Pelodiscus sinensis: one gene and its partner. The protein of the gene in region 1 interacts with the protein of each later gene in a biochemical or structural test. Links are inferred from orthologs where the notes say so. Each region holds a gene or a part of one and is shown in the gene's direction. Other genes may lie near its edges.

Region 1 (3,748 bases):
TGGAGCTGGACAGCAGGGATAGGTCGCTCAACAGTGCCCTGTTCTGTTCATTCCCTCTGAAGCATCTGGCCACCATCATAGAGAGGATGCTGGGTTGGGTTGGATGGGCCACCGGGCTGATGCAGTGTGGCCGTTCTTTTGCTCATAAACCAAACCCCTCTCTTTACTTCCAGCTCTGCACCATCGCACCATCCTGTTCACGCCCACCTTGGCCAGTAGCAAAATGAGCTCTGTTCACACGGAGCAGCCATGAGCGCTCATTCGTTTTCTGAGTTAACCTCCTCCCCCGAGGCCAGTGCCTGCCCCTCGGGCGATTGTTTCAGGCCCTCCACGGACTCCCTGCCTCTGGGCACTCAGCGCCCTTACAAAGTAGAGCAGGAGGCCAGAATTTTCAGAAGGGTCCGACACCCGCAGTCACGGCAGAGTTTCAAACCCTCAGCCTCCGTTCAGGCCAGAGGTGGGGAACCTTTTTGGGGGGGGGATGCTGATCCAGAGAAAAATCAGTCGGGGGCAGCACACTGGTGAGAAGCAAGCAAACCAACAAACCCTCACTGAGAAAGAGAAAGACCCTCTCCACATTCCCCTCCTGCACCAGAGCTTGGGGGGCTAGGCTAGTACATTTTGCCCACTCCAGCTCTGCAGGGAGGGGGGCTGAAGCACCAGTGTAGGCTCCCCAGTGTTGGGGGGGGCGCCCTAAGCCTCGGGGGCCAGATCCAGGCAAACTAGGAGGCCCCGGGCCTGAGGTGCCCCACCCCTTTGGGCACAGAAAGATGGGGCGAGAGAGTCGAACTCCCCCGCCCCTCCACTTGAAAACCCAGCTGCTTTTGCAGGTGTTTGCAGAGTTGAGAAAGACCCGCCCCTGGATCCCAGACGGCGCGGGCAGGGGCTAATATCCCCGGCCCGGTCCCCTAGCTCGGGAAGGAAGCTCCCTGCTCCGGAACGGTCCTCGGAGCGCTTGGCGAGCCTCGCCTCGCCTCTCCGGGGAGAGATGGCCCAGGGAGGGGGCATCCCCCGGCCCTTTTATCTTTCGCTCTCCTCCTCCTCCCTCTGCAGCCTCCGGGCGCGCCCCCCGGAGGGCAGAGCCAGCCGGGGCATCCAAGGCGCTGCTCCCCCAGGACGCGCGCCAGGCTCCGGGCGCGCCCGCGCCTCGCCACTCCCAGGGGAGTTGGAATCCCGCGCGGGGGCGCGCGGCGCGTCCCCGCCGCCCCGAGGAGGAAGTGCCGCGCGGGCACGACGCTGGGTTCGCAGAGCCAGGGGGACCCCGCCCCCCCCTCGCGGCAGAGACCCCGGAGCCATGGGCTGCAGCCCGCAGTGAAGACAATGACCCCCCCCAGCAGCGGCTGGCTCTGCATGGGGCTGCTCCTCGCCGCTTGCCTGCCCGGCGGCCGCAGCCACGACGGTGGGTCCGGGCTGGGGAAAAGTTTGTGCGGGGCGCGAGGAAAGAGGGAAAGTTCCGAGGGGGGGGGGGGGGAGCTTGGGATGTGGGCGAAGGAAAGCGGAGCTGGGAAGCGCCCAGCCAGCCGCGGGAAAGGGGGGGGGGGCGAAGAGGGGGGCCCACCCAACAAACTTTGCAGAAGTTTTGTGTCCCGTGCATCCAGCCGGAGAGCGAACCTAGCGCTGCCGATCGGCGCGGGGTTGCCCCGGGAGCTCCCGAGCACGCAGGAATGAGCCTCCCATGGGGGAGGGAGGGGGGCAGTGGGGTAAAAGGGTGCAGCCTTGGTTCACGACTTCAGCGATCCTGGCAGCGACTAGGTCCCACGAGTCCTTAGCGAGGATTCAGCCCGGCAGAGCCACTTCAGTAGGGAGCCTGTTTCCATGGGTTGTGGGGTTTGATCCCGCCCCGAAGAGCGATCGCTGCTTTTCTTTCCCGGGGACTCTGACTCCTTCTCCCCCCCCTTCAGACCTGCCAGAAAAATCGAGTTGCCCCGGGAGTGTCAGGGAGGGGAGACCTTGGCAGGTTTTTAAAATGGTTTCTCTCTCTCACTCCCTTGCTTCCTTGGGGGCTGTCCCACGGAACCAGTGGCTTTACAAAAATAAGCTCCATGCGGCTTACTTACTAGGAAAATGACAATCTCCTGCAGACCCTAAAGGTGCAGGCTGGGATCTAGAGAGCTGTGTGGCTAGGCACTGCCTAGAGTCACTCCTCCCATGGTTCTGTACAATGGCAGAGGCCTGGGTCAGACTTAGCACTTTCAAAGGTGTTTGGATAAACGAAACAAGGTGCATTTTTTTCCGTTTTAATCGTATTTTGCTTTGGGTGGGAAATCCCACCCTCTCCAGATGAATCCTGTTCCCAGGAATAGTTTACCCGGCCAATTGTTTTCTATCTCACCCACAAATGTAATAGTCTGGAAAGGAGTTTATATTACAAATTGCAGAGGGGAGGACTCCAGTCAGTTGTGGTGAGGGGGCGGGTCACAGGTAAATGCTTATTTTGCATGTTTCAGTATTTATGACAAGGAAGTAGGTAAGGCCAGAAAGATTTTAGCCTCGTTGCTTTATGCTGAAGGCAAGTTGTTTATTGAAAATGTTCCCACCTCATCCATCTTGTCTGCTGTTGATGAGTGTCAAGCTGTTTACTGTAGTCAAATACGGTGGGGCCGAGTGTTATTGGCGAGTTACATTTTGTAGTTCGTTAGCACTCATGGTTTACACAGGAAATTCTAGCTACTGATGCCCAAGGGAGTTGCCCAGTATGTTGGATGTAGATACATAATCCATAGCAGAAACCTAAATCTTTACTTAGTGTTTGTTTTCTGATGTCTTAGCGGAAGTAGGACTAGGACTTGCAAATTTGGCACGTTTACTTTATACCCATCAATACACCATATTTAGTGAAAAGTTCTCAGATAACAGTATCTTATCGAGGACCGCTCATCCTGCAGCCCGTCAGAGACTTTACATATACAGGAGTAACTTCACTCACAAGGTCCTATTGGTGTCGGGGGAGGTGGGCAGTGTTAGCTGCCTAATACTACAGAACAACACTATCCAACAGTTTGAGGGACAAAGTGAAGGGGAAAACTCCTTCAGTTGAATCTGCAGGAGTGAAGGGGATGTAGAGCGGCAAAATGTATCTACTCAGTTTGGAATTGGGTAGGACAGTCGAGCTAACTCCCTCCTCCCTCCTGAGATGAGATAATCCCTCAGGATCTTAAAGGATTTCAGCTGATACATCAGCCAAAACCTGCCCCTTATTGCCACAGTGGGACGTTAGTTCTGAAAGAGCGTCACCTGCCAAGTTTGGTGCCCTGCTTGGGTTTTCCTGTGTGCTTGTGTGTGTATCTGGGCGTCCCACATGCATGCCCAATCCTGTGAAGCTGATGCGATCGTAACAGAAAGTGGGCACTGAATTCTGAATCACCTGTTCCAGGTGAGATGCCAATAAGATGCTTTGTGTTTGTCGGGATTGGAATATCCGGGGGGAAAAAAGTTTCAATGAATGTTTTCCCTAATGTCCAGGAGAGAGGGAACCCGTTCCCGGGGATGGGGACATCAAGGCAGATGGATTCCAAAATACATAAGAACATAAGAATGGCCATACTGGGTCAGACCAAAGGTCCATCTAGCCCCAGAGCTTGTCTACCGACAGTGGCCAGCACCAGGTACTCCGGAGGGGGTGGACCAAAGACAATGATCAAGTGATTTGTCTTGTGCCATCCATCTCCAGCCTCTGACAAACAGAGGCCAGGGACACCATTTCTACCCCCTGGCTAATAGCCTTTTATGGACCTAACCTCCATGAAAT
Region 2 (3,748 bases), on another chromosome or scaffold:
CTTATAAGAAAAGAGCGTAGCTCTTGCGCAAGAAGCCAAGTGTAGACGCTCTCTTGTGCAAGAAAGCTGCTTTAACTATAGAATTTTATTGCGCAAGAACTCCTGCCACGCATCCACACTGCCATGGGCGCTCTTGCGCAAAAGCACATCTCACACATGGCAGTGTGGACGTGTTCTTGTGTAGGACTCCTTGCACAAGAACCCTTGCGCAAGAAGTTCTTGCGCAAGGAGCCACCAGGGTAGACATAGCCAATGTGTATAGCAAAGCAGAGAAATACCAAACATTAAGAATGACTAAAAGTGATTAAATAATTGGATAGATTTTTAATTTGTCTGCATTTTTTATTTGTACCCAAGCATGACCAAAAACATACACCCAAACTGCACATATAGCAAGGCTGTTCTCCACTGACATATACAAAGCAACACTAATGAGAGTACCCAAAAACGTACACAAAAGAAAGAGGAACCCTTATTGTACTACACTGATTGGTAAAGTTTATTCACTATATAATCTTTATTTTAAATTCTGTCCTGTGTTTTTCACGAATACATTAATTAATTTTAAACTAATTTACCTTTAAAGTACACAGGCTGTTGGATTCTGTGGATTTTGGAACTTCAAATGAAGTATTAAGAAACTACTCCCTTTAACAACACAGTGCATAGACATAGAGCATTTTTTTAAGGGTGGACATTTGTTGCAATGAAACAGTTAAAACCTCTCCTGCAACATTAGATTTGTGTACCTGGACCTGTTTTACAGGTTTCTCAGGAGGGAAAATAACAATTTAATGTGACAGCACACAGGAGCTAGGCGTAAGAGAGAAGATCAGAAGTTTGCATAAGTGAGCTTCCCTTTTCAAAGTGCTGCTATTCAAGGGATCTTTCAAACACCCCTAAAGGACCATTATGGTGGAGCAGGAGATGTTATCAAAATGTTTTTGTCCTCAAGAAAAGTGTAAGTGACCACGTTTGATTTTTATATAAGAATCAAAAACATTACCTGACAGATCAAATGAGAAAAAAAGCAATTAGGTATGGGAGAGGAAAAGGAGAAGTCTTAAAACTATAAAGAATGAAGCAATTAACTTTATATTTCTAGACTTGCAATATAATCAAGGTTTTTACAGCACAAAAGAGAAGGACTCTTGTGTGAAGTATCTTGAAAGGTTTTTTTATTTAATGTTGGATTTATTGCTTGTATTAGCAAAGAACTGTATTGTAGTGTCTGCCTCAGTCGAGAGGACTTGAACAATGAGTTTAAATATCTTGAGTGACAGACTGAAGTGCTGTGAAAGCATTTTGCCACAACAGTGTGTTTTTTATCTTGCAGTGTCTTTTTTTTTTTTTGACACTGTGAAAACTTATTTTTTTTCTGAGTTATTGGCAAGCTTTCTATCAGCTTGTCCAAATGTCAGCTGAGAATTACAATGCAGTGACAGGAGTCTTAAATTGATCCAAGAAAATAACTTCCAGAGCTTCTATACTAATTTCTAATATTTCCTTTAATTGTGGTAAATTAAACAACTAGTGAATGATAAAAAGTCATCATGAATTTAGGGTTTTTTTTAATGTTAAGAAATCAACTCTCTTCCAGGCAATAGCAAATAGAACTTTAGGCACTACATGAACTAACCATGTAGCAGGAACCTGAAAGCTTAGTTGGCTGGAAACTAATGTATGTGGGTTGAATAACTTGGAGCTGGAGCTGTTTGAATCAATTCATCAGGGTGGAACTGGTGTGCTGATGAATCAGTTGAACACCCTGCCACAGTGAAGGACTGATGCAGAGACTGAAGGCATGCTACGCACTTTCAAATTGCTAGGTTTGTTTGGTTTGGAAGCTTAAGTAGGATGACTCCAGTTAACATTTTCTTCTAGGGCTATGTCTACACAGCAACATTATTTCAAAATAACATAGTCTGTGTCTACACAGCCGAAAGTTATTTTGACATAATGCTGAAATACTGTCAAGCTGCAGGACATCTTACTTTGACTCCTGTAACCCTCATTTTATGAGGAGTAAGGGAAGTCGGAGGAAGAGTGCTCTATTTCAAAATAAGTGTTATGTAGACAGCACCAAAACTCGAAATAAGCTATTTTGAAATAAGCTATGCAATTGACATAGCTCAATTTGCGTAGCTTATTTCGAGTTAAGCCCTGCTGTGTAGACACACCCTTGGAGAAGGATCAGCTTGGTTCTGAAAATAGAAATGTAGCTTGTTTCATGTTCTTTGTTTCAAGTTCCTGAAAGATTTTTTTTCTTTACACTGATTAAATAAGAAGAGAATCGGATAAGGTTGTCATTAAAAAGGAGAATCCTCCATGATAATTTTGTACTTTTGTCTTGTTCGTGACTGTTGGCAGAATCTTTCTGAACCTATTACTGAAGGTTTTATAGATCCCAAAAGGAAAGACCTAAGACCAGATCCTCAGCCCTTCTGCATCACTCAGCTCAAAGAGACTGTAAATTGGCTTAACTAGCCTCCTGAAGATAATGCTTGCATACGGAAGGTTTAGGGAGACCCAATAGCTATTCTCCTGCACTCAGGCCTCTGTGTTTGGAATGTGGTGGTTCACAAGGAGAGGTGGTCAGAGCACAGTTGTCCTCAACTGACAAGCTGCCCCTTTGGGGCCATAGGTAGCAGGAAGCAACTTAGAATGAACAGGGGATACTCTGAGGACTGAACCAATCCTTGGATCTCCCTGGCAAGCCTCTAGAATGCGGACTTAACGAGGCAGCATTAAGTCTTCTTTGCACCCATATCAGTCTTATACCAGGCTCAGCTTGACAGGCAAAGAAGCAGTCCCTACAAGGCATTGATGTAAAATGAATGCAATGGGTATTTTCAGGCTGCCCCAAATTATATTTAGAGTTGCTGTATTGTGGCTATAAAACTATGATTCTTGATCTTTTTTCTGTATATTGTACCTTTTAAGTTTATATGAAATCAATGTTCAGGAAGCAATGACTGTCTTGTTTCTGCCACAGTCTGTGCAGTACAAATTATTTCGAAATAGTTTTTGTGTATAGAGGCGTTATTTTGAATTAACTATTAGACATACCCTCAGAGAGTGAGGGGGAGACATTCCTGCCGGGATGGGGGGCAGAGGCTGAATGGCTGACCAGTGCATATGAGCAGCTGGACACCACTGCCATTTGATGAGCACATCAAGGGGCTGTATTATTCAGGGAAGCCTTGGGGGAGAGTTTCAGCCAAGGTGTGGCTACAGCAGCCACAAGTGCAGCTGAGAGAGGCTTCTGGAGGCTAATTATTTTGAATTAGCAGAACCAGATCATTCACACTAACACTATTGTGAAATAACAATTTCGAAATAAGCGTTATTTCCCAAGGAAAATAGGAGTATATATATTGAAATAATCAGCCCGTTATTTCGAAATAACAGGCGGGTAGCGTGAATGCTGCGCTTGTTATTTCAAAATACTAACTTGGAAGATCTATGATTTAATCGATATGGATAGTATCGCTAATGGTGCAGATCTCAACTTTTCCACGCCATCCTGTTTTGTGTGGTTCTTGTCCATATTCTTCCATGAATCTTCCATAAAGGACCCACACAACGTGCTGGAGGCCTTCCTCTTGTTCTTTTTATGTCTCGTGGATATCAGTGGAGTATGCGTGCTACCCAACTGTTGTCTCTCGGTCTCGCTACATGGCCAGCCCATCTCCTTTTCTGATTGTACATAACTTAGATATCATTGACATTACTTCTTGCACACAAA

Evidence for each region. The genes of interacting proteins can lie anywhere in the genome.
Region 2: of the proteins of ERBB2 (region 1) and PTPN3, one has a biochemical effect on the other in vitro, tested with the Homo sapiens proteins (2 studies listed by IntAct, with this or other methods). The link is inferred for Pelodiscus sinensis from reciprocal best matches to the Homo sapiens genes ERBB2 and PTPN3.

What each region holds. Positions count from the first base shown.
Region 1 is NC_134739.1:11,545,278-11,549,025, reverse strand, and holds the start of ERBB2 (receptor tyrosine-protein kinase erbB-2), read left to right. Parts: upstream 1-1,194; 5' UTR 1,195-1,320; coding exon 1,321-1,399; intron 1,400-3,748. UniProt on the Homo sapiens protein: Protein tyrosine kinase that is part of several cell surface receptor complexes, but that apparently needs a coreceptor for ligand binding. Essential component of a neuregulin-receptor complex, although neuregulins do not interact with it alone.
Region 2 is NC_134712.1:148,659,467-148,663,214, reverse strand, and holds the start of PTPN3 (tyrosine-protein phosphatase non-receptor type 3), read left to right. Parts: upstream 1-809; 5' UTR 810-912; coding exon 913-961; intron 962-3,748.